7 linked regions of the Oryctolagus cuniculus genome follow. The protein of the gene in region 1 interacts with the protein of each later gene in a pairwise test. Links are inferred from orthologs where the notes say so. Each region holds a gene or a part of one and is shown in the gene's direction. Other genes may lie near its edges. The genes, in order: UBE2I, RNF4, ADARB1, EXOSC9, RAD51, SETX and MAPK1IP1L.

Region 1 (4,164 bases):
AAGTGAGGCAGCCGAGGCCCAGGCGGGAGCGCGCGGCAGGTGCGTCCCGCATCCGGGCGGGGCGCGGCTCTGGGGCAGGGACAGCGCTGCCCGCGGTCACCAGGCGGTGGGCAGCGAAGGGCGTCCAAGGGCGGCCACGGGGAGGAGGGCCCGGCCTCCGCTCCCCCCGGGACACAGCCTCTCTGCGCGCTCCTCCCTGGGCGGGAGTGCGAGGCGGGGTGGGCCCGCGGTCGCCGGCTGTCCTGGGACGCACACTCCCCCCCCCCCCGAGGGTGGGCCCAGACCCCGGCTCCGCCCCCGGCACGGGGTCGGGACGCACCTGTTCTCGGGAGTTCTGGGTTTTGCTCAGGTGTGGATTTCTGACCAGCCCCCCAGCCCGGATTTGTGGGTGATCTGTGGAGGGCTGCCCCCCAAGGCGGGGCCGGGGCCCTCACCCCCCCCCCCCAGCCTCAGTGTGTCCTTTGAACCTGGCCCATCTGAGGTGGGTTCCCTGCCCCAGGTGTCCCCGTGTGGAGGACCGCGGATCCGGGACCCCTGAGCTGACCCCCTCCCACCTGCAGACCTGGGCCCCCCAGCTCCCCCTCCCCACAGACCTGGGCCCTACCCCCCCCACCTGCAGACCTAGGCCCTGCCCCCCACCCCTGCCCATTGGGACCCCAGGGCCGCGGTCCAGCGGCTTCTCCACGGCCACACAGCCCAGCGCAGACCGCGGGGAAGCTGGGACCGGGACCTAGGGGCGCGGGGAATGAGGGGCGTCTCTGCCCCCTCGGGGGTCTCCGCCGCTGCCGCCAGGCCTGTCAGCCACGTTCCGTGTCCCGGCAAACCAGAGCTGCGAAGGCTGCGGACGGCGGAGCCTGGAGGAGGGCGTGAATGAGTGCCTTCCAGGCCCTCTGCGGCCGACCCCATCGCCTGGCCCCGGGCGCCCACCGCGCCGACGGCTCGGACGGCGCCCTAGCCCCAGGGGCGACCCCGCCGTGCCCGCGCGGGACGGCGCGGACCCGCGAACCGCGCGCTCGCGCTCGTGGGACGAGACCGCGCGCGGGAATCCCGGCGCGCCCCTCCCCCAGGCGGGACGGCCCCGGGCTAGGGAGCGTCGGCGCTTCTCCTCCCGTCGGTCTGGCGAGCGTCCGGCCTTCCGTACGGCGTCAGCTGATTGGGCGGATCTGGACGATGCCCCGCCCAGGCCCCTGCATTGGCCAATTGCAGGGGGTTTCACAGGACGCCAGACTCAGGGGATTGTCGCCGTCCTGCGCCGTTTCGGGCATCCGTAGGCCTCAGTGGTCTTTGCCCCCCGGCCCCGGGCCCCGGCCCCAAGGAGACCTCCGGAACCTACGCGCTGAGACGCGCCCGCCGGGCATCCGGGGAGCCCTTGAGGAACGCGGCGCGCCCCTTCCCCGGCTGCTCGCCGGCGTATCCTCGAGTGCGCCCGCCCGCCCCGAAGGAGAGTTTGCAGACGCTCCCTCACTTCGAGGACGCGGCTCCTTTAAGAGCACAGGTGTCCAGGGCGCCGCCTGACTGGAAAGTCGCCCCCGGGCCGGGCTCCCCGACGGGACGCGGGACGCGGGCGCGCGGCGGCGGGGCGCGGGCGGCGAGGAGCGCGCGGGGCCGCGGGCGGCGCGCGGCGCGGCGCGGCGGCGGCGGCGCGCGGCGCAGGCGTGCGGCGGGCAGCCCCGGGCCAGGCCCCGCCCCGCCGCCCCGCCCGCGCCGGGGTCCTCGGCGCTCGGGGCTGCGCGCGGAGCGGGCTCCGGAGGGAAGTCCCGAGACAAAGGGAAGCGCCGCCGCCGCCGCTCGGCCCCCGCTCGTCCGTGACGCTCGCCGGGCCGCGGCCGCCCGAGGTGAGCGGGGCCGGGCGGGGGGCCTCGCGGGCTCGGGCCGGGCCGTCGGCGGCCCGCGCGGGGCGCGAGGCGGGCGCCGCGGCCTTCCGGGCGGCGCGCGGCCTCGGGGTCACGGCGGCCGCCCGGGCCGCGCCTTCCTCGGGCCGCGGGGCTCGCGGGGCCGCCCGGGAGGGCGCCGGGAGCGGCCGGTTGCGGACCAGCGGGCGCGCGGGGGGCTCCGCCGCCGCCGAGGGAAGTTTTCCTGCGCGGCCGAGAGCGCCCCGCTCGCCACGGGCGGCGGGCGGCTCCGTGCCGGCCAAGGTGAGGCCGTGGCCGCGGCCCCCAGCCCCCTGCCCCGCCGCGGGGGTCGCGCGTCTTCGGGGCCCGGAGCGCGCCCGGCCCTCCGTCCGCCTCCCGGGGCCTGTGTGGGCCGCCTGCCCCGCGCGGCGCCCCGGCCCTCTCCCGCAAGGCCGCTGGCCAAGCCCGCCGCTGTGCCTTTGTCTGGCGGGGCGCGGGGGTCCCGGGACGGGGGTCGGGCGCAGCCGAGGGAGGCGTGGGGTGCATGCCCCAGAGGGCCCGTCCGCGGGTGCGGGAGGGCCGAGAAGGGCCACGGAGGCGGCCGGTGCGGGCCGCGGCAGCCCACCTGTCCAGCGCGGCTGCGTGCTGAGACTGAGGCCGGGCGCCCGGCGCCGAGCAGGTGCGCACCTGTGGCTCGGCCCGGACGGGCAGCGCCGCCCGCCGCGGGGGTCTCTGTGGGCGGAGCTCTTTCGGGCCCAGCACGGGCAGGGGTGCAGTTCTGATGCGCTGGCTCGGGAGGGCGGGTTGCAGCGGGGAGGGTGTGAGAGGCGCACAGGAGCCTTGGGGACCGACGTCGGGCTCCCCGCGGCCCCCAGGCCCCTGCCGGCCCCTGCCCCGTGCTGTGCTGCCTGCTTCCGGGGACCCCAGGGCGCCCGGGGCTGGCTCGCGCGCTGCCCGTGCAGGTGGAGGCTGTGGTGAGCCACAGGCAGGTGTGCTGGGACCGGGCCGCCACGCCTGTTCCCGGAAGGGGCCCGGGCTGGGGCGCCAGGTGCGGGAAGGCGTGGCAGCCTGGCGGCGGCTTCGCCTCTTTAAAGGTTTATTTATTGTCAAGGCAGAGTTAGAGGTCGCGCAGCCGCTGGTTGGCTCGCCCAGACGGCCCCGTCGGCTGGGGCTGGGCCGTGTGGAAGCCGGGAGCCTCTTCTGGTCTCCCACGCGGGTGCAGGGGCCCAAGGCCCTGGGCGTCCCCCCGCAGGGAGCCGGCTGGGAAGTGGAGCAGCCGTGGGCTCAGCCTGCAGCCGTGCGCGGTGTGCGACGGCCGGAGGCGCCGGCACTCAGGAGCCCGAGGACCGTGGTCCTCGTCCGATCGTCTGTGGAGGTCTGGCTCTCCTGGGCTCTCGCCTGCTGGGTTCTGGGATGCCGCCCGCCCCGGGCAGAGCCTCCCCCTCTAACCAGTGCCAGGTGAGCCGTGGAGTGGCTCTGTAGCCAGGGACTTGGAGGGCGACACCCGTGGGTTCCGAGGACGGGGCAGACAGCAGCTGGTGGAGTCCAGGCGCGGCGGCCTGGGCCCTGGGCTGTGGTCCTGGACCTTGAGGGCCGCTGTGGCCGGCCCTGGTCAGGGCGCTGGCCCTCGGGTCCGGGGCGCAGGCGCCCTGCGTGGGGGAGGCCAGGCTGGGGCAGCGGCGCTGGGCTGCCCCCCTCAGCAGCGCCGTGCGCCCGCGGCCTGAGGTGTGGGGCCCTCCCAGCCTGGCGTGACTCGGGCTCGTGGGAGTGGGGCCCTCACGGCGCCCGTGTCCCCAGGACTGGAACATGTCGGGCATCGCCCTCAGCAGACTTGCCCAGGAGAGGAAGGCCTGGAGGAAGGACCACCCGTTTGTAAGCAGAGCCCGCGGGCGGGGGCGGGGGCGGGCGGGGCGGGGCGGCCTGAGCGCCCGGGGACTCCCCTGCTTGTCCACGCAGGGCTTCGTGGCTGTCCCAACCAAGAACCCCGACGGCACGATGAACCTCATGAACTGGGAGTGCGCCATCCCCGGCAAGAAGGGGGTAAGCGGCCGGGGCGGGGGGCGGCGGCAGGACCCCGCGCTGGTGGCTGGTGGCTGCTCCGAGAGGGAGCTTTATGTCTCGCGGTCCCTGACCTGGCAGTGGCCTCAGCTCCAAAGCCCCACCCCTGGCTGGAGAGACTGGCAGGGCCATGCGGGGGGCGGGGGCCGTCTGCCTGCCAGGGTCTGCGTTGGCAGGAGGCTGGGACTCGAACCCAGTTCCCCACGCGGGATGGGGGTTGACCACGTGGCCCAGCTCTCCTCGCCCCTCCCGATGCGTCACGGTGGCCTCCTGG
Region 2 (4,195 bases), on another chromosome or scaffold:
ACCACAGCACTGGCCCCATGACTGCCTTTTAAATGAAGGCTCTCTGGCCCCTTTCTGAAAACCAGACCTAGACCTAACCAGAGGTGGAGGAACAGCGTGACAGCTAGTCAGAAGGCAGGGATGATAATTCTGTGTAGCCTTGACAAAATGCCTGTGGGTACTGACCTAACCTCCCACCTGCCTGTCCACCCCTCATAGTAGTTCCTGGAAAGAAAATCCCTCAAGGCCAGACCTAGGGTCCAGATGCTATCTGCAGGGGAGATAAGTGCCCACTGCCTCAACTCAGAGCGAAGTTTAGGAAGGAAGAGCCGGGGCTGGGACTCAGGGGTCCAGCCAGCCTCAGCATCACAGGCCCGGCTCCAGCGCAGGGCCTGGAGCTCCGCGGGGCTCACACCTGCCAGGGCGGTGTGGGGATCACAGGTGAGGGCAGGCTGAGACCCGGGGGCTCAGATGCCCGCAGGAGGCATCCAGGGCTCCGCCCGCGCCCGGGGCTGGGAGGACACCTTTCTCCAGGCCGGTCCTGGGGTGCCTTCCCTGCGGGCCCTCGCCCACCCCTCCTGCCCACCCGGCCCCTGACACCCTGACTCCCCTCCCCAGGCTGCGGGACACCCAGCTCCCTGCTTCCTGCCCAACTCTCTGCTTCTTCCGCCCGGTACTCCGGCTCTTGGCCCCAAGCTCGCTTCCTCTGGACAGCCCTCCCAGACAAGCCGGTTTAGGGCCCCTCTGGGCTCGCCAGTGGGGACTGGGCCCGGTCCTCGCGGGGACGGTGACCGCCCCGCCCCGTCCAGGGCCTGGTACCAGGCGGCGCTGATCCAGGCCCGGCTTCCAGCTCGTGCCCCGGGAATATTCCTCTCCAAGGTCTCGTTAACAGGCAAGGAAACAGGCCCGGGGAGCTGGGCGCAACGTCTGGTCTGGACCAACGTCCAGCTTGACGTCGCCGGCCGGCCTCGTAAGTTAGCGCCATGGTGGCTGCTGTGCGGGGTGGCAGCGCAGGACCGGGACCGTTCGGAGCCCCCTCGGCTCCGGAGAGCGGGTCACCGGGGGTCGGCGGGCAGCTGCCGCGGGCCAAGCGCTCGGACCACCCTCAGACTACAACTCCCGACAGGCCTTGCAGGCGGCGCGGCGCGGACAAGCTCTCTCGCGGGAATGCGGGGGCTGAGGCGCGCGAGCGTGGGCGGGGCCGGAAGCGACGCGGTTCAAAGTGGTAATGGACGTCTTCCTTATCCAATAGAATTGGAAACAGGGCTCCTTCCCCGGCAGCCGCGGGCGAAGGGGAGGCGGCGGCCACTGGGGACGCGCGGGGGGCGGGGCCTGGGCCTCGGGAGCGGAAGTGGACTGCTGTGGAGGCGGCGGCGCCTGGCTCGGGGGCTTCTCCTCAGCGGCTTAGAGGTGCTTCCTCGCTCCAGGACAGTGGCGGCGGTGCCTCCCGGACCGGAGCAGCTCCGAGTAAGGCCCGCTCCTCGGGGAGGGAGCGGCGGCCGGGCCCAGCAGACGCCGCGTTCGCGCGGCCTGTCCAGGCCTCGGCGTCCGCGCCTCCGGCGGCCGCCCAGCGCGGCGCGACCCGCTGCGGGCCCCGTGGCCGGCCGGGCCTGCCGGGACTTCGGGCCGCCTCTGCCCACCCGCCCCGCCGCCTGCGCCGGCGTCCCGAGCCTCGCTGGGCGCGGGAGAGGAGGTCTAGGGGGCTCCCCCGGCGCGGCCGCACGACCGGGCTCGGAACTCCGAGAGGGAAACTGAGGCTCGGGCCGGGGCGCCCAAGGTCACGGGAGAGGCGCCCGGGCCTGCCGGCGGCGGGGAGGCAGTGAAGGCTCGTGTCCTCCTTTGTGCTGGCGCCGCCGCCCGCCGTCGGGGGCCCGCGAGCTCGCCGGAACGCCTGGCCGCGTGGCGGGCGCGCTGCTCGGCTCGGCTGGGCGCGGGGCCTGGAACCGGGGAGCCCGCGCTTCCGGGTGCAGCGTGTGGCCGCCGCCCCGGAGGCCCGTGTAGGAGCCCGCGGCGGACCCCCGGGCGCCCACCAGCGTCCACCTCGGGCGGGGAGGGCCGAGCCTGGGCGAGCCGCGCCTGCGGGATGCAGCTTTTGTCTTCCTGCGGCGCCCGCGGACGCTCGGGGTCTCGGCCTGCGCAGCCGTGCCGGGGTCCTGGGGGGTGAGGCGGGCGGCCCGCGGTCGCACGGTGGAGCCGAGTTCTAGCTGCGGGACCCGGAGTGCGGGCCGTGTGGCCGTGGGAGGCGGCGGCGTTGAAGGGGATTTTTTTGCTCTGGGTCGGTTTTGCTTGTGAGTTTGGGGTCGTTGTGTTGCTTGAACTTGACCTTCCAGTCCTGACCCGGAACCTCACTAATGACGCTTAAGAGGGTCCCGACTGCTCGCCGCCATGACGTTAGGGCCGCGTATATGGGCATACTGTGTGTCTGGTTTTTATTCTGTGAACATCTGTAGAGAAAGGGAGAGACAGATCTTCATCTGTTGGTTCACTCCCCAAATGGCCGCCGTAACCAGGGCTGGGCTGGGTGGAAGCCAGGAGCTTTATCTGAGTCTCCCAAGGCGGCCCAGGGCCCAAGCACTGGGGCCATCTGCTTCCCGGGCGCATTAGCAGGGCTTGGGATTGGAAGTGCAGCAGCTGGGATTCCAGTGGCTTCCATTTGGGAGGCTGAAACTGCTACACCAGAGTGCTGGCTCCTATGGTATGTCCTTTGTGTACTGTACATATATCTGTTCTTTTTTTTTTTTAAAGATTTATTTATTCACTTGGTAGAATTACAGAGAGAGAGGAGAGGTAGAGAGATAGAGGTCTTCCATCTGCTGGTTCACTCCCCAGATGGCTACAACGGCCGGAGCTGCACTGTTCCAAAGCCAGGAGCCAGGAGCTTCTTCCGGGTCTCCCACACGGGTGCAGGGCCCAAGCACTTGGGCCATCCTCTACTGCTTTCCCAGGCCACAGCAGAGAGCTGCATGGGGAGTAGAGCAGCCAGGACTCAAACCGGTGGCCGTATGGGATGCCTGCACTGCAGGCTGCGGCTTTACCTGCTACGCTACAGCGCTGGCCCCCATGTATCTGTTCTTAATACATAAAATAAGTAGGATTTTTCACCCTCTTTCAGAAGACACACTTTAATATTCTGAGCACAGTTTTGAAGCAAACAGTAGTGGATTACAACAGTGAACAAAATAGGAATGTGGTGCCTCTCCTGGAGCTAAGGGCTGAGAGACCCAGAAAGTCCCTGACACTGAAGTACAGACTGTGCAGGAAGTGTGGCAAGAGATGGGACAGACTGGAGACACACGCAGGATCCCGAGAGATGGGACAGACTGGAGACACACGCAGGATCCAGAGAGATGAGACAGACTGGAGACACACGCAGGATCCAGAGAGATGAGACAGACTGGAGACACACGCAGGATCCAGAGAGATGAGACAGACTGGAGGCACACGCAGGATCCAGAGAGATGAGACAGACTGGAGACACACGCAGGATCCAGAGAGATGGCACAGACTGGAGACACACGCAGGATCCAGAGAGATGGCACAGACTGGAGACACACGCAGGATCCAGAGAGATGAGACAGACTGGAGACACATGCAGGATCCAGAGAGATGAGACAGACTGGAGGCACACGCAGGATCCAGAGAGATGGCACAGACTGGAGACACACGCAGGATCCAGAGAGATGGCACAGACTGGAGGCACACGCAGGATCCAGAGAGATGAGACAGACTGGAGACACGTGCAGGATCCAGAGAGATGGGACAGACTGGAGACACACGCAGGATCCAGAGAGATGGCACAGACTGGAGGCACACGCAGGATCCAGAGAGATGAGACAGACTGGAGACACATGCAGGATCCAGAGAGATGAGACAGACTGGAGGCACACGCAGGATCCAGAGAGATGGCACAGACTGGAGACACACGCAGGATCCAGAGAGATGGCACAGACTGGAGGCACACGCAGGATCCAGAGAGATGAGACAGACTGGAGACACGTGCAGGATCCAGAGAGATGGGACAGACTGGAGACACACGCAGGATCCAGAGAGATGGCACAGACTGGAGACACACGCAGGATCCAGAGAGATGGCACAGACTGGAGGCACACGCAGGATCCAGAGAGATGAGACAGACTGGAGACACACGCAGGATCCAGAGAGATGGCACAGACTGGAGACACACGCAGGAACCAGAGAGATGGGACAGACTGGAGAC
Region 3 (4,216 bases), on another chromosome or scaffold:
CTGAGTTACTGGGCACTGTCTCTCAGGTTCTGCCTGGAGAGGTGCCCATCTGTTCTTACGGATGTCCCTGCCCTAATAAACTTTGCTATTTTACCTTCCACTACTCTGTCTCATGCCTGAATTCTTTATCGTGTGAAGACAAGAACCCTGCCATTCACCGGTAACAACTTGACTAAATGCTGCCGGTTTCCCCCAGTCAAACCCAAACCCACTAAGGCCGTGCACGGGTGTGGTGGGGACGCACCCACGAATCTCACAGCCGTTTGCCCATGCAGAGCGACTCACGCGCAGCCTGGCCGGGGCGTCCCATGCACCTTAGCCAAGGAGAGCCGCGGAGACATCAGCAGGGGCCGGAAGCAGGGGTTCATGTTTGCTGTGCTGCTGAGGGGCCGGACGGCCTGACCCTCTTGCAGTATGGCCCAGAAGCAGGGCCTGGCCCAGCCTGACCTGCCCAAGCTGCTGCCCACGGGGTCACAGCGATTGAACAGCTGTGCCACGGCCACAGACACAAAATCCCTGCACACGTGCTTGTCCTCCACGGACGAATCCCTAGGAGGCAGCCCTGCAGTCCCGACGCTGACTCAGCAGTCACCAGGCCCCTCTCGCCACTCCCTGGCAAGGTGAGTGCTTCCTTCACCCGGCTGGCCCCAAAGACAGCCTTTTGTTTTTGTTTTTCCCCTTTTCGCCAGTGGCTGAAGCAGACAAGGGCCCTGGCAGCACTGCCCGGGGGCTGCAGACCGCTGACCTCCCTGGAGGCCACTCTGAAACAAGACCCTGGGTAAGGCCGGCAGCCGGGGGCCTGGTACCAGGCTGGACTGAGCGCTCGCCCTTTGCCCCTGGTTAACAAGCGGGGACGGGGTCGGTGCCCCCCTAGGGTCCCTGCAGCCTGAACTGGAGCCGGGGCCTCGCCGCGGCTCGCCAGCAAGCCGGGGAGGGCGCTCACTGCGCACAGCGCCTGACTGTCGAGCTAAGGCAACCCCGCGCAGCCAGCCGCCATTCAACGGGGTCCCGGGACGCGCCCCGCACTCACAGCCGCCTCGCTCCATTGCGGGCCTGCAGTGCAGGTGCGCCCAGGTGCTGCCCCGCGCCCCGCCCCGGGCACGTGCTCCAGGCCCGGGGGCCCTGGCACCTGACGCGAGCAGACCTAACTCAGGGGCCGCGCGGGCCTCCTCCAACCCCGGGGTCGCCCCGCAGGCCGCGGCACGACACCTGCCCGCCGGCCCCTCGGACCCCCACGCAGCGCCGGCGCACGGGCACTGCCGGAGCGCCCGCAGCCGCAGCCCTCACCACGGCGACCGGCGGTGGCGCGCACGTCGGCGTCACGGCGCCGGCCCCGCCCACGGCGCGCGCGCGCCCGCCCGCCCGCGCGGGGGCGGTGGCGAGGGCGGAGCCGCGGCCAGCGTTGGCGCTGAGGCGGCTGAGGGGCCGTGGCGGCGGCGGCGGCGGCGGCGGCGGCGGCGGCGGCCGAGCGGCCAGGTCGGCGGCCGGGCTCTGGCGGCGCGAGCCACCGGCGCGCCGTGCCGCAGCGCTCGGGGCCGGGCCGGGTCGCAGCTGCGGCGTCGGGCGTCCCGAGCAGGCCGCGCGAGGTGAGGCGGGAGGGCGGGCGGGCTGGCCGGGCACGGCGCCGGGGGCGGCGGGCGCGGCGGGCACCCGGGCCCCGTTTATGTAAGCCGGGAGGACAGGTGCGGAGGCCGACGGCGCTCGCTCGGGGCGGACGCCGCGCGCCGGCCCGGCGCTGTGCACGGGGCTGCGGGGCCGCGGGGCTGCGGGCGGGTCCCGGCGCCCGGGAGTGCAGGCTGCGCCCGGGGCTGGGGTCGCTGCGCCGGGGCTGAGGAGCCTGCGTCCCGGGAGGGCGGGAGGCTGCGGCCCGAGATGGAGAGGGTGCGCCCCAAGGTGGGGAGGCTGCGCCCCAGGGTGGGCGGGCTGCGCCCGCGGTGGAGACGCTGCGCCCCGACACGGGGAGGCTGCGTCCTGGACGGGCGGCGCGTCCCCTCCTGAGGGCACCGTGTCCGCGTGGGAAGCTCCGCGCCGCGGGGCAGGGGGCGTGCACCCGGCGTGGGGCTGCACCCTGCGTTCGGGGGGCGTCCGGCGGGAGGCTCTGCGCCGCGGGCAGCCCGGGGCGGGGAAGTTCCCGCGGCGCTGGCAGCTGCGGGGTCGGGTAGGAGGATGGCCGCGTGGTGGGTGGGTGGGCGGTGCGGAGTCCCGGCCGCGGGCTGCCCGGGGTTTGCGCCGGGTGCTGGGTTCGCAGTTAGCATTTTTAGCCAGCAGGGTTGGCTGCTGCTTCTGATGAAGGCATTGTGGTCGCCGCGAAGCCCGGGGCGCTGTGCCTGCGCCCCGAGTGTCTGAGAGGGTCCTGCTGTGGCACCTGCTGCTGCACTCCGCCTGCGGTGCGGAGCGGTGGAGAACCAGGTTTGCACTTGGTCCTCTTTGTTCTCTCCCACCTTCGCCCGAACCTTTCATTTCTTTGAAAGGTGCGGCCCGCCGGGTGGTCCCGGGAGCCGGCCGGGCCCTGGGAAGGTCCTCTGATGACTGCCTTTCCCCTGGGGAGAGACCGCCCGGCCCCTTTGCCTGCCCAGGGTTTTCTGGGGCGAGGAGGAGAGAGGCAGAGGTGGCTGCTGCGGTGCCTGGGAGGGTGCGGGACCCACCGCAGGCGCTTGATAAATATGGGATGAGACGGCCGGGCTGGGCGCAGAGGCTTTGAGAGGGGCCCGCTGTCTGTGGGCCGTGCCCGTCGGTTCCCGAGCTGGGGCTGTTCAGCCACGTCCAGGTCAGGTTGGCAGGGAAGGAGGAGGCCTTTCTGCGGGGGCAGTGGTAGCGGACGGGCCCCCGGGGCGTTGGGCGCTCACTCCCGGGGCCCTCAGCCTTTGCCTGTTTACGGGTCATAAAGCGTTGCTTGCAGATGTTTGCAGTAAGAGAGTTCTTCGGACTTGAGGCCTGTCTGGTGCATGACTGAAGCGCTCCTAATTCATCTCCCACATGCTGACCGTGGCCTGCCGGGCAGCAGGCTCTCCCGGTGCCGGACAAGGTGGGCAGCGCTGAGAGATGCTGCTGGCAGTTTGTTAGTCACTCACGTAGCGTTACGTCCTAAAAATAAAATTTATAATTTTAGTTGTGAAATTGCACGGTTTTATTTATGGATGTAAAAGTGCCAGTGTGTGCCCCGGGAGGTGTGAACTCCTCGCTCCCAGCCGCAGCCCCTCGCCTGCCTGCCCCTGCTGCTGCGATGGTCGTGGGTTGTCCCTGCCCTAGTCCCTGCCGGCAGTTGTAATGCGGTTTTTAATATTTCCTCTGACAGACAGTGCTACAGTGGCGATTCTTATTCGTGACTGCAAGCAAGACCTACTGATTGTTTTGTGTTAATTATCAAAATTCCTTCACTGTAAGATGTATTAAAGCACTGGGTTTATTCCCTTGAATGCTGTGATTAACTCTGTAAGCACACAGGAACAAAGTGTGTTATTTAATTAGGTGGTGGTTAGAAAGTACATTTAAGAGATTAATAGATGAAGTTATCCACTTACCAGCCTACAAAAAACTTAAGCAAAACGATCAAGCTTATGATCAAACTTAAAGCTGATATCTGGCTTTTTAAAAAGGTTTATTCTTTTATTTGAAAGACAGTGTAATAGAGCGAGGTCTTCCATCCAGTTGTTTACTTCCCAGATGGTCGAGGCTGGGCCAGGCTGGTTCCACCTGGGTCTCCCACGTGGATGGCAGGACCCAGGCACTCAGGCCGTCTCCTGCTGCCCTCCCAGGCACATTAGCAGGGAGCTGGATTGGAAGTGGAACAGCCAGGACTTGAACCAGCGCTTTGATAGGGGTGACAGGGGATGCCGGCGTTGCAGGCGGCAGCGTGATGCACTGTGCCACAGCACTGGCCAGGAGACAGAATTTTAATGGAAAACGTGCTGATTTTCTTTGTAACTTTCTAAAACGTGCTGTGCTACGCTCATTTTCTCTCTGTCTCACTCTGTCTCTCTCTCCCAATCCACCCCAGAAAGCATTTATCAGGCTCCTCTTGCAGCCGGCACAGGACTTAGTTGGGGGCACGTTTTGCCGTAGGTTCAGTTCTGAAGCCAGTGGGGGTTGCCGGTCAGCGTGGCCGAGTTCCTGATGGCCAAGGCCTTAGGGAGGGTGGAGAGTGGCCGCAGGCCTGGGATGTCCCTAGGCCTGGACTAGTGCAGGGACTGACCTCGCCCAGAGCCCTCCTCGGGAG
Region 4 (4,347 bases), on another chromosome or scaffold:
ATTCCCATTCTCAGCACTGATAGGGGTCTGAAATTGTTCTATTTAGTTAAGTTTTTGTCTCTTCTAAAGAAACAAATTTCTTGAAAGAAAGGATCTTGTCTACCCCCCCCCCTTTTTTTAAACCTAGCCCTGGAGTTATTCTTGGGACACAGTAAACCGTCTTTAAATATTGAGTACCTAGGTTAGACAGCAAGAGGTAGAAACTAAAATCTAATCTCACTAAAACAAAGTGTGAGAAGAGATAAAAGAGAGGAATCGATTTTATGTAGGAGTTGTGATGCTTACCACATGCAAAGCAAAGGGAAACAAAATACAAAGCAAATAGTGCTTAGCCAAGCACTGCTCTAAGCATTTTATGTGTCCTAATTAGGTTTTATTCCTCATAATAACTTATCATCCCTATTTTGCAACTGAGTACTGTGAATCATCTAGGCTAAATAACTTGTCCAGGATCACAGACCTAGTGGATGGCACAATGTGAATACGAATCTGGGCAGTTTCGAGTTCCTGTTTTTGTTTTTAAAACCTCTATTAGCTCTATTTATTTGAAAGGCAGAGCAACAGAGTGGGGGTGGGGGAGAGAAAGAAAGAAAACGAGATAATGAGAATCTTCGCTGGCTGGTTCACTCCCTTGTCCACAGAAGCTGGAGCTGGGTCAGGTGGAAGCCAGGATCCCGGAACTCCATCCGGGTCTTCCCTGTGAGTGGCAGCAGCCCCAGTACTGAGCTATCTTCCACCGCTTTCATAGGAGGAAGCTACTGCTATTTGACAATCTTTCTCTCCAAAAAAGCTGAGCGCTTGGCAGCACAGCCACAACAAGGCTTCTGTCTGCCCCTAACAATAAGCCTATGGACAGTGTAGTTTCAGCCCACGGCGATAACACAACGCAGGAACGACCTCGAATCTTGTCAGCTTCTTAGATCTGTTTCACCTCAGCCAGCAGGAACGTCCCAGCTCACCGCCGCGACTGTCTTCTCCCAATCCCGCTTGTCTCTTTTGCGCCCTGTGTCCAGTGTTTTTCCACGGTACCTGCTCCAAACCCTCCTCTGGAGCTTTCTAGTGGCCAAGCATCAACGCCTTCATCAGTGAAACAGCAGTAACACCCCTGCAGCCTCGCCCGCGCCGGGACTGAGGAACGGCAGAGTGTGAGAGTGGTCTACTCATGCTATTGTCTGTCAACCACGTGGCTATCGTGTGCGTCTTTTAAGCCCCTGGCACTTTACCTTAAAGGAACCTTCCGACTTTAAGGTCGGAAACACCCGTCTCTAAGCCGCCTCTGCAGCTCCAGTGCCCCTCGGAAGAACCCAGCCAGGCTTGGAGTTTGCGCACTAGCGACGGCTCAAGCCCCCAGCTTTCCCACCCGCAGCCGTCGCGCCCTGATGACGCAAATCTCCTTCGCCGCAGAGCGAGCGGAGCGCGGGTCTAGAGTCTTCGCGTTTCCTCACGGATTTTGGTGCCCGTGGGGCCCGTGAGCTTACACCATGAAGGAAACGCCACTCTCAAACTGCGAGCGCCGCTTCCTACTCCGTGCCATTGAAGAGAAGAAGGTAAACGGCCCCCCCGCGAAACTGCGCGCCGCGCGGGCGCTCAGCTCACACGGGGTGAACTCGCAGACTTTACCAGCGTGGGCCGCAGGAGGCCCTGGGGAACCAGCCGGAATGTTCCCCCAGCCTCTCAGGCGATATGTCACCCCAACGGGTTCTTTTCGAGGCGTGAGTCGTCCCAGCAACTTCCAGTGCTTGGGCATCTAGCTTCCGCTCTCCTAGCGGGATGGGGTGGTTAAGATCCCACTTTGCTCCAGGGCGGACGCATAGTAATTGCTCAAGAAATACTTGTTGAAGGAATAAGAGAATGAATGTTGTGCTTACAGCGGCTGGATGGCAGACAGACCTACGATTATAGGAACATAAGGATCTCGTTTGGGACAGATTATGGGTGCTGTATTGTGGAACTTGGGAAAACAAGGTAAGAGAGTTCAGATTAGACGACAGATTCAACAAGGAGTGGTTAGCACAGAAGTCGGGACAGTACTTTGTGGTCATGCCTTAAGTTTTTAATCCTGAACATCTTTTCTTCATGAGTATCTGATCTCTACAAATCATGTAGGTGACCAGCAGTGGTTACTTTGTATTTGTTTCCTGAACTCCTTTCACCGTAGAGAGTGAGGGATGTAGAGATTGCGAGCATTTTGGCACTAATAGGTCCCACATTCCTCTTTTTCCTGAGTGACGTGAAAACTAGGTTTTTAATATTCACTTGAAACTTTTGAGGCTATTTGGTCAGATAATGTTGCTAAACCATGCCATGTGAAAACCCTTAAGAATTCTAGTTTCCATGACATTTTGTATTGATAAATACTCGTTTCAGGAAGAAGTAAAGGTCATTGATTTCCTTCTAAGTCTGTGAAATAGTAAATTTTGTTATAAGAGTGTATCCTTTATCTCTGCATATATTCCATATGTAATTTCTGCTTCAGAATATATCGTTCTGAGTATAGCATTACGTAGAGTAAGACAATGTTGTCTAAGATTTTTTTTAATTGGAAAGGAAATATATTTAGCAAACTGCTTTGTGCCTTTATCTTTACAGAGTTCTTGGACAGGTTTCCTGTGAACTTGTTGCTCCAAAACTCAATAGAGCAACAGAAGGTATTCTTTTTTGTAACCTTGAGCTCTCTCAGATGGCTGCCCCGGCTTTTGAACCTGGCAGGTACTTAAATCTTTTTCTTAAGCTTTCACCATAGGAGAATCTAATAACAGTAAGCTATTGTTTTAGTGCCTTATGAATATAATGTATAATGTAATGGTATTATATTTCATGACATCAACCCATTCCTGTTTTCTTAGGCAGTCCGATCTTTTGGTGAAGTTGAATCGACTCTTGGAAAGATGTCTAAGAAATTCGAAGTGTATGGATACTGAGTCTCTCTGTGTTGTTGCTGGTGAAAAGGTGGGGAAATATACCTAAGATTCTTTTTCTGGTAAAGCTTTATTTACTTAAAAGTCAGAATGAGAGAGAGCTTCCATCTGCTCATTTGCTCCCCAAATGGCCACAATGGCCATATACCCAAAATTATTAATCTTAGGGTGAATATTGTTGATTTATTGGTCTCTATTACTATGATTTTCAGAACTTAGTTGATTAGATTTATACTGGTTCACTTTCTGAGTACTATTCTTGGAACTTTGTACCATCCCTGTTGTTTTTTTTAAAGGGTGAAGAATAGCAACTTGGATATATGTTGAACCATTTAATTTAAAGAACTTGTGACTCTTTCATATCATCTCTCTTTTATTTTCTCACGTTAAGTCTATTGATAATGTTTTCCTTTTCAATGGGACGAACAACTTATAAACAAACCCAAATCCTTCATGTGGGTAGGTTATTGATATACACAGTGTCAGTGGTATGGCTGACATTGGAAATCTTTGTCTCCATAAATTGTGCTGTATGAGGATAATACAACTGTGATTTTTTAAAAAAAATTATTTGAAGGGCAGAGTTTACAGGGCTGAGGGAGAGACAAGAGAAATCTTCCATCTACTGGTTCACTCTGCAAATAGCCGCAGTGGTCAGAGCTGAGCCAGGAGCCAGAAGCTTCTTCTAGATCTCCCACGTGGCTACAGGGGCCCAAGGACTTGGACCATCTTCTGCTGCTTTCCTAGGCACATTAGGAGGGAGCTGGATCAGAAGTAGAGCAGCCAAGATTTGAACCAGTGCCCTTATGGGATGCTGGTGGTGCAGGCAGCAGCTTTACCTACTATACCGCAGTGCTGGCCCCAGAATTTGAAGTTTTTAAGTTAGCAGGTAAAATAGAAATATACTCAGGTTTAGAGTTAGGAAAATATTAAATTTAGATGGTAGAGTGGTTTTGTTTAGGATATTCATATTGTTGCTAAGTGACTCAAATAGTAAAGTAAACTGTTGGTATTAAAGGTTTTTTTTTAAAGATTTATTTATTTATTTGAAAGTCAAAGTTACACAGAAAGAGGAGAGGCAGAGAGAGAGAGAGAGAGAAGTCTTCCATTTGCTGGTTCACTCCCCAATGGGCCACAATGGCCAGAGCTGCACCGATCTGAAGCCAGGAGCTAGGAGTTTCTTCTGGGTCTCCCACAAGGGTGCAGGGGCCCAAGGACTTTGCCATCCTTTACTGTTCTCCCAGGCCATAGAAGAGAGCTGGATTGGAAGTGGAGCAACTGGGACTCAAACCGGTTCCTATATGGGATGTGGGCACTGGAGGCAGTGGCTTTACTCGCTATGCCACAGCGCCAGCCCCAAAAATGTTTCTTTAACGTAAAATTTTTCTACGTATATTTTTATTGAAAATCTTGAAGTAACTGTGTTTTA
Region 5 (4,407 bases), on another chromosome or scaffold:
TAGGTCTAGAATGGCTCTTGAATCTGTTCTCTGTCGATGCCCTAACTTAAGCCTTCAACTCTGGCCTGAAATGTTGCACAAGCTTCTGAATGGATTTTTGCTGTCTCTGCTCCTTCTTGAAATTGTTTTTTAATGCCACGAGATGATGGCAAGAGGATGGTGTGAGCTGTTAACTTTAAAGCACTCAACAAACAGAAAATAGTAGTAGTAGGGGGGAAAGTAAATCTAACCTATGACTCATCTTAAAACTGAATTATTTGGGGGTCAGTGTTCTGACACAGCAGCTAAAAGCGGATGCTTGGGATGCCAGCATCAGAGTGCTTGGGATGAAGTTCTTCCTCTGTTCCCCTCCTCTTCTCAGATTTGTTTTATTCATTTGAAAGGCATAGTTACACAGAGACAGATAGATCTTTCATTTGCTGGTTCGCAGCATAAATGGCGTTAAGGTTAGGAGCTGGGCCAGGCTGAAGCCAGGTGCCAGGAGCTTCATCTCCACAACCTGCTAATGAACCTGGGAGGTAGCAAATGATGGTCCAATTATGTGGGTTCCTGTCACCCTCGTGGGAGACCCTGATGAGTTCGTGGCTCCTGGCTTTGGCCTGGCCCAGCCCAAAGAAAGTGAACCAGCGGATGGAAGAACCCCTTCTCTCTGACTTTAAAAGAAATACTTCGTTATTTCCCAAAGTAAAGACCAAAGCTCCTTACACCTCTTAGCTTGAACTAAATGTAACTTTCCTGGTCTCCATTCTTCCTCATCAGACAACATTATTCCTTGAACAAAGTTTATCCGCAAGCCCACACTGCACTGTTTTTATGTCTTCCACCGCTTGCTTCTTCACCCAAAAACTCTACCCAGCTTTCAAAATCGGAATCACAGGACGAACGTCCTGGTAAACCGTAAGGTTTGCCTTCTCAAATTCTGCGCCTCCTTCCTCTGGGGTCCTGCCAATCTCCAGTAAGTCACTGCAGATGACAGACACGGAGACATTTCTTTCTCCCCTCTGCTAGCTCCATTTTCATCCATCTGCCACAGATTCCTCAACTCCACCCCTGTCGGGGGCCTGGAAAGCGCTCGGCTCCAGGGTACAGCTCCCAGAAGAACCAAAAGCCCACATTCAAAGAACTACAGACACAACCAACAGGTCTCCCGGAAGTCAGAGCGCCCACCGGCGCCTCCCGGGAGATACAGCCCCGGCCCCACCACTCCAGCTCCTGGGAGTTGTGGTCCTCCATCTCGTGAAGACAAGAAGGTGGCGATTTAGAAAGTTTTGATTAGTCCTTGCGTTTAAGGGAGGTGGGAAACTCATAACACCACGCGGTGCCAAGCTCCTCAGCCCTTTCCCTACGGCCCCGAGCTCGGGCGGCCGGCGGAGCGCGAGGGGCGGGGCGGCGCGACGCCGACGCGTGCGTGACGCCGCCCTGAGGGTTTTGGCGGGACTTCCGAAAGCCGCCCCGCAGGACCAGCTGTGTTGACCGGGTCTTGAGGGGAGCTGAAACCTTCCGCTGGTCACGGGGTTGGATTTGAAACTCGCCGAGGTTGTGCGCAGAGGGCCGGAGCAAGGCGTGGACAAGTGGGTCTCGGGTCGGGGCCGAGGCCCTCCGGGGGTCGAGCGTGCGCCGGATCAGCGGACAGAAGCCCGAGCGAGCAACGCTGTTAGGCCCAGGTGAGTGTAAGTCGTCGGCCTGGCCTGTTTCCACGGCCGCGGCTCCTCCTCTCGTTGACCGGGCGCAGACAGGGGCCTGTGCTCCCTCGGCCGGCTTTTGGGATCTGCTGGTGAAAAAACGGAAGATGGCGGAGCCGGGGCGTGCCTGCGCCCAACGGACTTGGGGCTCGTTGTGGAGAGTCCCAGCGGCCGCCTGTCCTGAGCAGTGTAGTCACAGCTGTTTCACGCCGCCTGCATTTCCGTGTTCTGCTCCGTCTGTCCATGACACCATTTTCTGCTTACAAAGTACCAACCTTAAGTTGCCAGAAAGATATTTTCATGCTTTAGATGGAAAAGCATTCATATGGTGCCTAGGAAATTTTCCGAAGTGGGATTTGGCACGCAGAAAGCCTTCTAAAGTGGACTGAAACACAATATAGAAACGCGCACGTCCCAAGCGTATACAGCGATTATTGCAAAATGAATACACCTGTGTAATCATGCATGTCAAACAGAATGCTGTCAGCACCCCAGCAGCCTCTCTTCTGCCCCCTTGTCGCTTATTTTCTCTCTTCTGTTAACCGTGTATACCATTAACGAATACCGGCTGTTTTTGAATTTTGTATGAATGCACCAGAAGTTTTGAGAGTTTACTTTTTCCACATACTTGCCAACACTTGATCTTCGTCATTCTTTTTATTTTTAGGTATTCTAGTAAATAGTAATATTTCATTGTGGCTTAAATTTTAACTTTCCTGATATTGATGAGGTTAGGCATTTGTTCATATGTTTCTTGACCATTTGGACGTCTTGTGAAGTGGCTATTCAATTTCTACCTATTTTTCTACTGATTATCTTTTTCCTCCTGGTTTGAAGGCATTCTTTATATTCTGATTAACAGCCATCAGTTTTATATGGTAAATATTTTCTTTATTTGACTTCTCATTCTCTTAATGGTATCTTGAGGGATAGAAGTTCTGAGTGTAAGTGTAGCCCAGTTTTTCAGTCTTTTCCTTTTTGGTTATCACACTAGGTATCCAGTTGAAGAATTCTTTCTCTTTCCCATGGTTTTTGTTTTTTTTTTTTTTTTTTTTTTTTTTGACAGGCAGAGTGGACAGTGAGAGAGAGAGACAGAAAGGTCTTCCTTTGCCGTTGGTTCACCCTCCAATAGCCGCCGCGGCCGGCGCGCTGCAGCCGGCGCACCGCGCTGATCCGATGGCAGGAGCCAGGAGCCAGGTGCTTTTCCTGGTCTCCCATGGGGTGCAGGGCCCAAGCACCTGGGCCATCCTCCACTGCACTCCCTGGCCACAGCAGAGGGCTGGCCTGGAAGAGGGGCAACCGGGACAGAATCCGGCGCCCCGACCGGGACTAGAACCCGGTGTGCCGGCGCCGCTAGGCGGAGGATTAGCCTAGTGAGCCGCGGCGCCGGCCTTTCCCATGGTTTTATATATATATGTGTGTGTGTATATATATATATATATATTTTTTTTTTTTTGGACAGGCAGAGTGGACAGTGAGAGAGAGAGACAGAGAGAAAGGTCTTCCTTTGCCGTTGGTTCAGCCTCCAATGGCTGCTGTGCTGCGGCCAGCGCACCGCGCTGATCCGAAGGCAGGAGCCAGGTGCTTCTCCTGGTCTGGTTATGATTGTTTTTACCTCTTAAATTTAAATCTGTAATCTAAATTGGAAATTGACTTTTTTTTCTGTGATATGAGAGGGATCAAGTCCATTTTATTCTGCAAGACTACCCAGTCGGCCCAGTACTATTTACTGAGATGACCATCCTTCCCCATTGCTCTGCAGTGAATCTATTTTCATAAATTAGACAGTGGAGGTTTTTCTGTTGCATTCAGCTGATTCTGATACATGGCATTCTTATCAACTCAGTATGCTAAATCTGCTGCTAAGAGATCTGTACTTGAGCCAGACCAGATGGTCATCCAGCATTGTCTGTCAAGCCTCCAAGTGTGGAATTCATCTTTTTTTTTTTTTTTTTTGGTAGAATATACTTATTTATTTGAAAGGCAGAGAGAGAGAGAAGGATCCTCTATCTAGTGGTTCACTCCCCTAAATGGCTGCTACAGCCAGGTCTGAGCCAGGTTGAAGCAAGGAGCCAGGAACTCTATCTTGGTGTTCCATTTGTGTGGCAGGGGGCACAAGCACTTGGGTTGTCTTCCACTGCCTTCTCAAGCACATTAGCAGGTAGCCGAATCAGGAGACAAGATTGACCCTAATATGGGATGCAGGTGTTCGGAAGCGGGTGTTGAACCTGCTGCTCTGTAACATGCCCTGGAATTCCTATCTGTCAGACTGTCCTCAGATGAGAGAGGGTACCTCAGAAAGTTCATGGGAAGTGGAATTTAAAATAAGGAGTTTATTTTGTTGCAAATCAACTTTGAAATCCATGCATAGTTGTTTACATATACACATTTTGTATGTATTAAGGAAGAATTCTTTCAAGTTTTATTTATTTATTTAAAAGGTAGATCAACAGAGAGAGGGTGAGAGAGCTTCAATCTAATGGTTCACTCCCAGATTGCCACAACAGCCACATCTGAGTCAGGCAGAAGCCAGGAGCCAGGAACTCCATCCAAGGGTAGCAGGGCCCCGTGTTTGGGCCATCTTCTGCTGCCTTCACAAGTGCATTAGCAGAAAGCTGTATCAGAAGCAGAGGAGCTGGGGCTTGGAACCAGCACTCAGTGGGATGCCAGCATTGCTTTGTACAACACGAGCCCCGCAAGCTGACCAATCTTTTTTGTTTGTTTG
Region 6 (3,718 bases), on another chromosome or scaffold:
CGGGGACTAATGGCAAAAGTACCATGAAAAATATTTCTCAAACACTATTAAACTAACATGTGCATTGAGTGACTTTTGTACTTGGGTAAGTGTGTTTCTCTTGGGTGTTTAGACCGGCGGAAGTAGATACTGTGGATGCGTTCCAGGGCCGGCAGAAGGACTGTGTCATTGTCACGTGTGTCAGAGCAAATGCCTTGCAAGGCTCAATTGGGTGAGTGACCTGTCACTGCTTTGTTCACTTGTTTATCATCCAGGACTAGATCATTGCCGATCCTGCTGCAGAACACCGTCGTTCGCTTTGTTTTCTGGTGAGATCTTGTGTAGCAGCATGAGGATGTCTGACTTGGAGACCTGTTAATTCTGCTTTCCCTGCTGTCTGCCATAGGAGAGGACTTGGCAAAGTTCATGGAAGAGTGAATGAAATTAGGAGATGTTTATTTTGCTGAAAAATATTTTTAAATCCATAGTTTTTTCATAAGTGAAATAAATAATTGGGTGACGCATATTTTGCAGGGGTATGCTACTCTTTTTTTTTTTTTTTTTTTTTTTTAAAGATTTGTTTTGTTTACTTTGAAAGAGTTACAGAGAGAGGTAGAGCCAGAGAGAGAGAAGTCATCCATTCCGCCAGTTCACTCCCCAAATGACTGCAAAGGCCAGAGCTGAGCTGATCTGAAGCCAGGAGCCAGCAGCTTCTTCTAGGTCTCCCACGCGGGTGCAGGGGCCCAAGCACTTGGGCCATCTTCCACTGCTTTCCTAGGCCACAGCAGAGAGCTGGATAGGAAGTGGAGCAACCGGGACTAGAACCAGCGCCCATATGGGATGCCGGCACTGGAGGCTGGGGTTTTACCCGTGTGCCACAGCACCAGCCCCATGGGTATGTTACTCTTCATGGCGTGTGTCCTGAGGTGGTGTCTTTCCTGCTTTGCCTGGGTTTGTTCTCTTTAGCTGCTGTCACTTAACTTGCTGAGGACACTCCCAGGGATGGCAGGAACGCCTTTAGTCTCTAGGAGTCTGTGTGGTGGTGTTCTCACTCATGCAAGGCAGGTAGGATGTACAGGTGGTCAACCTGTTTGACTATTCCTTCAGAAAATAAAACGTAAGTGCTCTCCGCTCCGCTGGGATGGGATGGGCCGCCTGCCGTGCGGAGCCCGGTTCCCACAGGACCATTTCCTGAAAGTGTGTCTGTTTCTGTGCTAGTTCGCAGTGTTCTAACAACACGAACACGCGTTTACGTTCATGAGTACATGAGCTTGTGTACTCTTAGAGAAGGTTTTTGAGGGACAGTGAGACAGAGACTGATAGAGAACAGGCTGTCATCTGCCAATGGAGTCCCCTGCTGCCTGCCGCATCCGCCCTGGGCTGGGGTCCGAGTGGCCAAGCCGGAACTGGGCTCAATCCAGGTCTCCCGCGTGGGCGGCAGAAGCAGTCCCTCCGCCGTGCTGCTGCCTCCTGGGGCCCTCGTGAGCAGGAGCTGGAGCCGGGTGTCCAGTCCAGGTGCTCCGATGCTGTGATGCAGGATCTTAACCACTCGGCTGATTGCCTGCCCCTGGGGTTATTTCTAAAACCTAAAGTCCTACTGTTCAAGTAGAATTTCTGGGGCCGGCAGTGGGTCAAGCCCGTCTGCAGTGCCAGCACCTGGCTGTCCGCCTCCGATCCAGCACCCTGCCGATGGCCTGAGAAAGCTGTGGAAGGATGGCCCACGTCCTTGGGCCTGCACCCAAGCCCGAGGCTTGAAGGGTGTTCAGGTTCCTGGCTTTGGCCTCGCCTGGCCCCGGCCGTTGCAGCCGTTTGGAGAGTGAACCAACAGATGGAGGATCTGTCTCTACCTCTACCTCTCCCTCTCTTTGTAACTCTGCCTGTCCAATAAAATGAGGACATATTTTAGAAAAAAAAATTTCTAGCATCGTATCACAGGCAAAATAGGAAGCAGACACGGCGCCCTGCTTGGTCTGTTCTGCCTTCGGTGGGAGTCGCTCCTGCGCCAGGGTTCCCCGTGCTTTCTAAGGCAGTGGCGGGAGCGCTGGAGAAGCCGTGTGAAGTACCGCCCGCCTGCCTCAGCCGTTCTAGACCAAGAAGAGGCTCTCTCTCGTTGCTTAGGTTCCTGGCCAGTTTGCAGAGAATGAACGTCACCATTACGCGAGCCAAGTACAGCCTCTTCATCCTTGGACATCTGAGGACCCTTATGGTAGGTACATGCTCGGGACCACAGCGGCGCCAGAGTGTGCCCTGCTTCCTGTGTCCCCCGCACCGGAGCGAGAGGGCGCGTCAGTGGGCACAGGAGCGAGAGGGCGCGTCAGTGGGCGTGGCTGACCACCCGGGGGCGTGGGAGGGACGGGCGCTCGTTGGCTCGCTTGGGGCGCCCAGTGCGGCTGTGCTCGGGGCTCCCCCTCAGCGCGCAGGGCTCCAGTGGCTCTGAGCGCCTAACCCTCGCTCACTGCCGTCCCCACGGTGGTTAGTGCCAGCAGAGGGCGCTCAATACACGTTCTCGCCTGCACCGGAGCCCTGTGCCTGCTCTGGGTCCAAGCGCTGTAGCCTTTGTTTTATGTACTTCTGTTTTTAAGTTATCAAGAAAATGTCACCGTAAGTTTAAATGCCACTACAGATGGATTTTAGACTGTTGTCGCCCTTAGCTGCAGCAGAAGGACAGAAAGATGGCAGTTCTGCCTCTTCCTGTCTCTGAGATTGTCTCCACTCCTGTTCGGGGCGGGGTCCGTGGGTGGTCTGTGCTGTGGCTGGGGCCCTTCTGCCGTCTCACCGTGTGCTCTGCGCAGATGGGTGCGGAAACGGGCAGTTGTTTCATAGCTTCGAGAAAACTATAAAGGGTGCGTAACTTCCTGTAAATTTGTAGTTGTGTCAAAATATTTTTTAGAAGTTATTTTTCCTGTGGCCATTGGAGCTGAGTGTTGAGAAAATCCGGTTTCTTGCAGGCGGGCTCGCGTGCCACAGTTGTGTGCACAGTTGAGCAAAGCGCGAGAGAGATTGGTGGTGACGCTTACGTTTGCAGAGTAAAGCGTCCCTGCAGGTTGGTCCCTTGGGTCTTGCTGGCAGGGTCTCCACACACAGCAGGAGTCGCGTGCCTGGTGGTGCAGCCTGAGAGCAAGCAGGGGGGAGCGTGAGGCGGCAGGACAGCCCGAGGGGGCGCAGGGAGCTGGTGTGGAGACGGCTGACACCCCGTCCTGGGCCGCTCTCCACTGCCCGCGGCTGGAGGAGGGCGGTGCCGTGACGAGAAGCCAGCTGCCTCCCTCACACTCGCCATCCGGCGTCCCAGCCTGTTCTTTCGTTCTTTTACTTAACTTTTTTTAAAAGATTTATGTATTTATTTGAAAGGCAGAGCTACAGGGAGGCACAGAGAGAGAGAGAGAGATGTAGAGACAGAGAGAGAGGTCTCCCATCCGCTGGTTCACTCCCCAGATGGCCACAATGGCCAGAGCGGCAGCAATCCTGAGCCAGGAGCCGGGAGCTTCTTCCGGGTCTCCCACGCGGGCGCAGGGCCCAAGCACTGGGGCATCTCCCACTGCTCTCCCAGGCCACAGCACAGAGCTGGGTCAGAAGTAGCTGGGTCTTGACATCGCCCGGATGGGATGCCAGCACTGCAGGCGGCGTCTCCCCGCTATGCCACAGCGCCGGCTCCAAGAGAGTCCTCACGTGTTAGAATGAGAGCTGGGCCGCGCGCTGGCCAGCACCGCGTGTCTGGTTGTGACCCTCTTCCCTGTGTCCC
Region 7 (3,718 bases), on another chromosome or scaffold:
ACTAAGCATCCAATTCATAAACCCTTGAAGGACAAACCACATCCAAATGATAGCCTTGGGCTATTCGTTTTAAAAGATGTTCTAACTTCCACTTAAAGAAATGAAAGTTGAAACAAGATGCCATTTTTAAAAAAATGATTGATTTCTTTGAGAAGCAGAGTGACAGAGAGGAGATCCTCTATCTGTTGGTTTACTCCCCAATGACCACAACGACAGGGGCTGGGCCAGGCCTAAACCAGGAGCCCGAAACTTTGTTTGAGTCCCCACATGAGTACAGGGGCCTAAGGACTTGGACATTTTCCACTGCTTTGCCAGGCGTACAAGTGGGGAGCTGGGTTGGAAGTGGAGCAACCGTGACCTGAAGCAGCTGCTCATATAGGATGCCCACATAGCAGGTGATGGCTTAACCTGCTGTACCACTATGTTGATCCCAATACACCAATTTTTTAATGATAATTTAAGGTGATTTATAAATATAGTAATATCCAATGGTGAAAGAGGAGTTAGAGAAAAAGGTGACAGTATAAATTGACAGACTTTTCAGATGGATTTTAGCTAAATTTAACTTTTTGACTCTAAATTCGACTTCCGGTGCTTTTTCCTGGTGGCACAGCAGATGTGAGTGTTCAGAGATGTTCCTTGTATCATTCTTTAAGCAGCCTCAGCTGTCAGAGTATCTGTAAACTAAATTATGGATTGTTTTTGTGTGATGTTCAGCCATTAAAGGGGATGAAGTTGATGGTGCTGTAATGAACTGTTATGGGAAATTTTCCTGTGTAAATGAAAATACATAAATGATGAAGATTCCATCATTTATATGTATTCATAGAATATTCCTTATCTATGCATAATGTATGCATAGAAAAGTGCTTGAAAAATACATAAGAAGTGATAAACAGTAATTTTGAAAGTTTCTTTCTTTTTTTTTTTTCTTTAGGAAAATGTCTGATGAGTTTTCGGTAAGTTGGCACATTTATCCTTGATAAGTTTTGTTCTTAAGAAAACAGTATAGTCCTATGAGCCATTTAAAAGAGATGCTTTTTGTGATTCTTGGATTTGTTTTTGTCATATGATATTGATAGGTAATTTGCGTCAGTTTACTTTGATAATACATAGTTGAAAATATCTTGGTATTTATTTGTTTATGAATCCTTAAAAGAAAAATTTTAAGGTATTGCTTCTATTGCTCTTATTTATCATAATATTAATAATATGCAACATTTATTGAAATTATAGCAGGCACTAAGTTAAGTGCAGGTTATTTACTTGAGACTTTTAAAAATATATTTATTTAAATATTTGAAAGAGTTACAGAGTGAGGGGCAGAGAGAGAGAGAGAGGTTTTGACATCTGCTGGTTTGCTCCTCAAATGTTCGCAACAGTCAGGGCTGGGCCAGACCAAAGGAGCCTGGAACTGCATCTGGGTCTCCCACATGGATAGCAAGGGCCCAGGCTCTTGGGTCATCATTTGCTGCTTTCCCAGGCACATTAGCAGGGAACTGGATCAGAAGCAGAGCAGTTGGGACTCCAACTGGCACTCTGATATTGTAATTTGCTTCACTGGCCCTTTGAAACTTTAAAACAAAAAAAATTGAAGCTCAGAGAGCGTATTTGGTTTGTTTGGGATAAAACCAAGATTGAAATATAGATCTTGACCCTAAATTCAATTGTTTTATAAAATTTATTTGTTCTACTAACACATGACAGAAATGCAACACAGCATGTTTAGTTGTATTTAGAAGATTTGAACTTTTCTGAGGAATTTTCACTATAAAGTTGATATTCATGGTAATACCTCAAGTTTTGTATCAAAAGAATTGCTTTTTAAGTGAATAGCTTAGCTTCTGAAGATGCTATTGAGGTTTCTAATCCCTGAGTTTATTGTTCTCTCTGGGTATTTGTATTGTGTTGGTGTGACTTGTCCCTGAATAAGGCAGATAAGACCTGTCTGTTTTGTATTTCAGTTGGCAGATGCACTACCTGAACACTCCCCTGCCAAGACCTCTGTGAGCAATACAAAGCCTGCCCAAGCACAAGGCTGGCCAGGTTCCAACCCTTGGAATAACCCAAGCGCTCCACCTTCAGTGCCATCTGGACTCCCGCCAAGTGCAGCCCCCTCTACCGTGCCTTTTGGACCAGCGCCAACGGGAATGTACCCCTCCGTGCCTCCCACTGGACCGCCTCCAGGACCCCCCGCCCCCTTTCCTCCCTCTGGACCATCGTGCCCCCCACCTGGTGGTCCTTACCCAGCCCCAGCTGTGCCAGGCCCTGGGCCCACAGGGCCATATCCTACACCAAATATGCCCTTTCCAGAGCTACCCAGACCATATGGTGCACCCACAGATCCAGCCACAGCTGGCCCCTTAGGTCCATGGGGATCCATGTCTTCTGGACCTTGGGCACCTGGGATGGGAGGGCAGTATCCTACCCCTAATATGCCATACCCATCTCCAGGGCCATATCCCGCTCCTCCTCCCCAAGCACCAGGGGCGGCACCCCCTGTTCCCTGGGGCACTGTTCCACCAGGAGCCTGGGGACCGCCAGCACCATATCCTGCCCCTGCAGGGTCGTATCCTGCACCAGGACTCTATCCTTCCCCCAGTAATCCTTTCCAAGTGCCTTCAGGACCTGCTGGTGCTCCACCGATGCCGGGTGGCCCCCATGTGAGTATTTGATTTGTTACTTAACATGCACTGATCGTTGTATACACAACTAATAGATTTTGTTTTCCCCAGTTTTGGGTGAAAGATTAGAAAGCTTGTAAGAATTTTTAAAAGGATGTGTGTGTATAAAATTAGTTCCACAACTTCAGGTAAAGCATTTAAAAGGTGGAAAGCACAGCTAAGTATTCCTAGTACTAAAAATAGGAACAAAAATTTCCCAAAGATCCCAAACACTTTGTAATGTAGTAGGTGGTTCCCTCGCCAGCATCCTTGAGGTAAACTCCGAGATACTTACATTTCTTGATGTTTTATAGCATCTTAATGTAGTTTTACCAACAGTTAAATAAAAGCAATTTCTGCCTTTCTGGCTTAGTACTGAGGTAGACTTTAGAGCATCCAAGGTAATTAAGTATGTTATGTTGCCAGCTTTTCAAGCAGTTTTCCGTGGTGTTTCTCAGCCAAAGCTTTGTTAAATTCTTAGCTGCACCGGGCTCAAGACTATAGCACTGTTCTCTGGCGTATCATGTGTGATACTTTGTGCTTTACCTCAGTCAGGCTGAACTAGGGTTCACATCTCGGTTTGGGAGCTTGTCTTGGGCATTTGATTGAATATAAAAGCACCCCACTTTGCTCCTGAGGTAAACTGAGGACCCAGAGGCAACCTCAAGACTCTACTTAGACAAAAAAGATCTGGTAACCCACAAATAACTAATCGCATCTCCAGCTAGATTAATTAGACATGCACCTCAGCTCTAAAGGCAAAAAACTCTTATTAAAATGCCCCCCAAAACTACTTCCTTTCAGTAGTGTAACTACTTGCTATATATATTCTCTAAAATATTTTCTTTGCAAAGTCTTTGCCAAAATAACTAAGTGAGATGTCTTGCTGTTTGAATTTATTAAGCATTAAATTTATTTAAAGCCACAGCAAGGAGTTAATAAACTCCATTTATAAAATCTAGAAGTTGACTTTTTCTTTTTTTTATTGCAGTCGTACCATTAAGTTAACAGTGGATGAAGAGATGACGCTTTGCTTTTTGAAGTACATGTATGTG

Evidence for each region.
Region 2: the proteins of UBE2I (region 1) and RNF4 interact in a two-hybrid assay, tested with the Homo sapiens proteins (3 studies listed by BioGRID and IntAct). The link is inferred for Oryctolagus cuniculus from reciprocal best matches to the Homo sapiens genes UBE2I and RNF4.
Region 3: the proteins of UBE2I (region 1) and ADARB1 interact in a two-hybrid assay, tested with the Homo sapiens proteins (2 studies listed by BioGRID and IntAct). The link is inferred for Oryctolagus cuniculus from reciprocal best matches to the Homo sapiens genes UBE2I and ADARB1.
Region 4: the proteins of UBE2I (region 1) and EXOSC9 interact in a two-hybrid assay, tested with the Homo sapiens proteins (2 studies listed by BioGRID and IntAct). The link is inferred for Oryctolagus cuniculus from reciprocal best matches to the Homo sapiens genes UBE2I and EXOSC9.
Region 5: the proteins of UBE2I (region 1) and RAD51 interact in a two-hybrid assay, tested with the Homo sapiens proteins (3 studies listed by BioGRID). The link is inferred for Oryctolagus cuniculus from reciprocal best matches to the Homo sapiens genes UBE2I and RAD51.
Region 6: the proteins of UBE2I (region 1) and SETX interact in binary tests that used the Homo sapiens proteins (3 or more experiments, as listed by UniProt). The link is inferred for Oryctolagus cuniculus from reciprocal best matches to the Homo sapiens genes UBE2I and SETX.
Region 7: the proteins of UBE2I (region 1) and MAPK1IP1L interact in a two-hybrid assay, tested with the Homo sapiens proteins (3 studies listed by BioGRID and IntAct). The two-hybrid records come from large-scale screens. The link is inferred for Oryctolagus cuniculus from reciprocal best matches to the Homo sapiens genes UBE2I and MAPK1IP1L.

The regions. Positions count from the first base shown.
Region 1 is NC_091450.1:33,712,189-33,716,352, reverse strand, and holds the start of UBE2I (SUMO-conjugating enzyme UBC9), read left to right. Parts: upstream 1-1,229; 5' UTR 1,230-1,495; intron 1,496-1,678; exon of another isoform or gene 1,679-1,835; intron 1,836-1,982; exon of another isoform or gene 1,983-2,135; intron 2,136-3,629; 5' UTR 3,630-3,638; coding exon 3,639-3,704; intron 3,705-3,788; coding exon 3,789-3,872; intron 3,873-4,164. UniProt on the Homo sapiens protein: Accepts the ubiquitin-like proteins SUMO1, SUMO2, SUMO3, SUMO4 and SUMO1P1/SUMO5 from the UBLE1A-UBLE1B E1 complex and catalyzes their covalent attachment to other proteins with the help of an E3 ligase such as RANBP2, CBX4 and ZNF451.
Region 2 is NC_091433.1:1,253,872-1,258,066, forward strand, and holds the start of RNF4 (E3 ubiquitin-protein ligase RNF4), read left to right. Parts: upstream 1-1,286; 5' UTR 1,287-1,446; intron 1,447-4,195. UniProt on the Homo sapiens protein: E3 ubiquitin-protein ligase which binds polysumoylated chains covalently attached to proteins and mediates 'Lys-6'-, 'Lys-11'-, 'Lys-48'- and 'Lys-63'-linked polyubiquitination of those substrates and their subsequent targeting to the proteasome for degradation.
Region 3 is NC_091435.1:1,560,325-1,564,540, reverse strand, and holds the start of ADARB1 (double-stranded RNA-specific editase 1), read left to right. Parts: upstream 1-1,404; 5' UTR 1,405-1,586; intron 1,587-3,003; exon of another isoform or gene 3,004-3,025; intron 3,026-4,216. UniProt on the Homo sapiens protein: Catalyzes the hydrolytic deamination of adenosine to inosine in double-stranded RNA (dsRNA) referred to as A-to-I RNA editing.
Region 4 is NC_091439.1:43,254,380-43,258,726, reverse strand, and holds the start of EXOSC9 (exosome complex component RRP45), read left to right. Parts: upstream 1-1,366; 5' UTR 1,367-1,481; coding exon 1,482-1,547; intron 1,548-1,870; coding exon 1,871-1,965; intron 1,966-2,589; coding exon 2,590-2,709; intron 2,710-2,846; coding exon 2,847-2,949; intron 2,950-4,347. UniProt on the Homo sapiens protein: Non-catalytic component of the RNA exosome complex which has 3'->5' exoribonuclease activity and participates in a multitude of cellular RNA processing and degradation events.
Region 5 is NC_091443.1:63,837,863-63,842,269, forward strand, and holds the start of RAD51 (DNA repair protein RAD51 homolog 1), read left to right. Parts: upstream 1-1,402; 5' UTR 1,403-1,664; intron 1,665-4,407.
Region 6 is NC_091432.1:234,563,481-234,567,198, reverse strand, and holds part of SETX (probable helicase senataxin), read left to right. Parts: intron 1-112; coding exon 113-211; intron 212-2,097; coding exon 2,098-2,185; intron 2,186-3,718. UniProt on the Homo sapiens protein: Probable RNA/DNA helicase involved in diverse aspects of RNA metabolism and genomic integrity.
Region 7 is NC_091443.1:21,422,525-21,426,242, reverse strand, and holds part of MAPK1IP1L (MAPK-interacting and spindle-stabilizing protein-like), read left to right. Parts: intron 1-937; 5' UTR 938-941; coding exon 942-959; intron 960-1,964; coding exon 1,965-2,663; intron 2,664-3,654; coding exon 3,655-3,666; 3' UTR 3,667-3,718.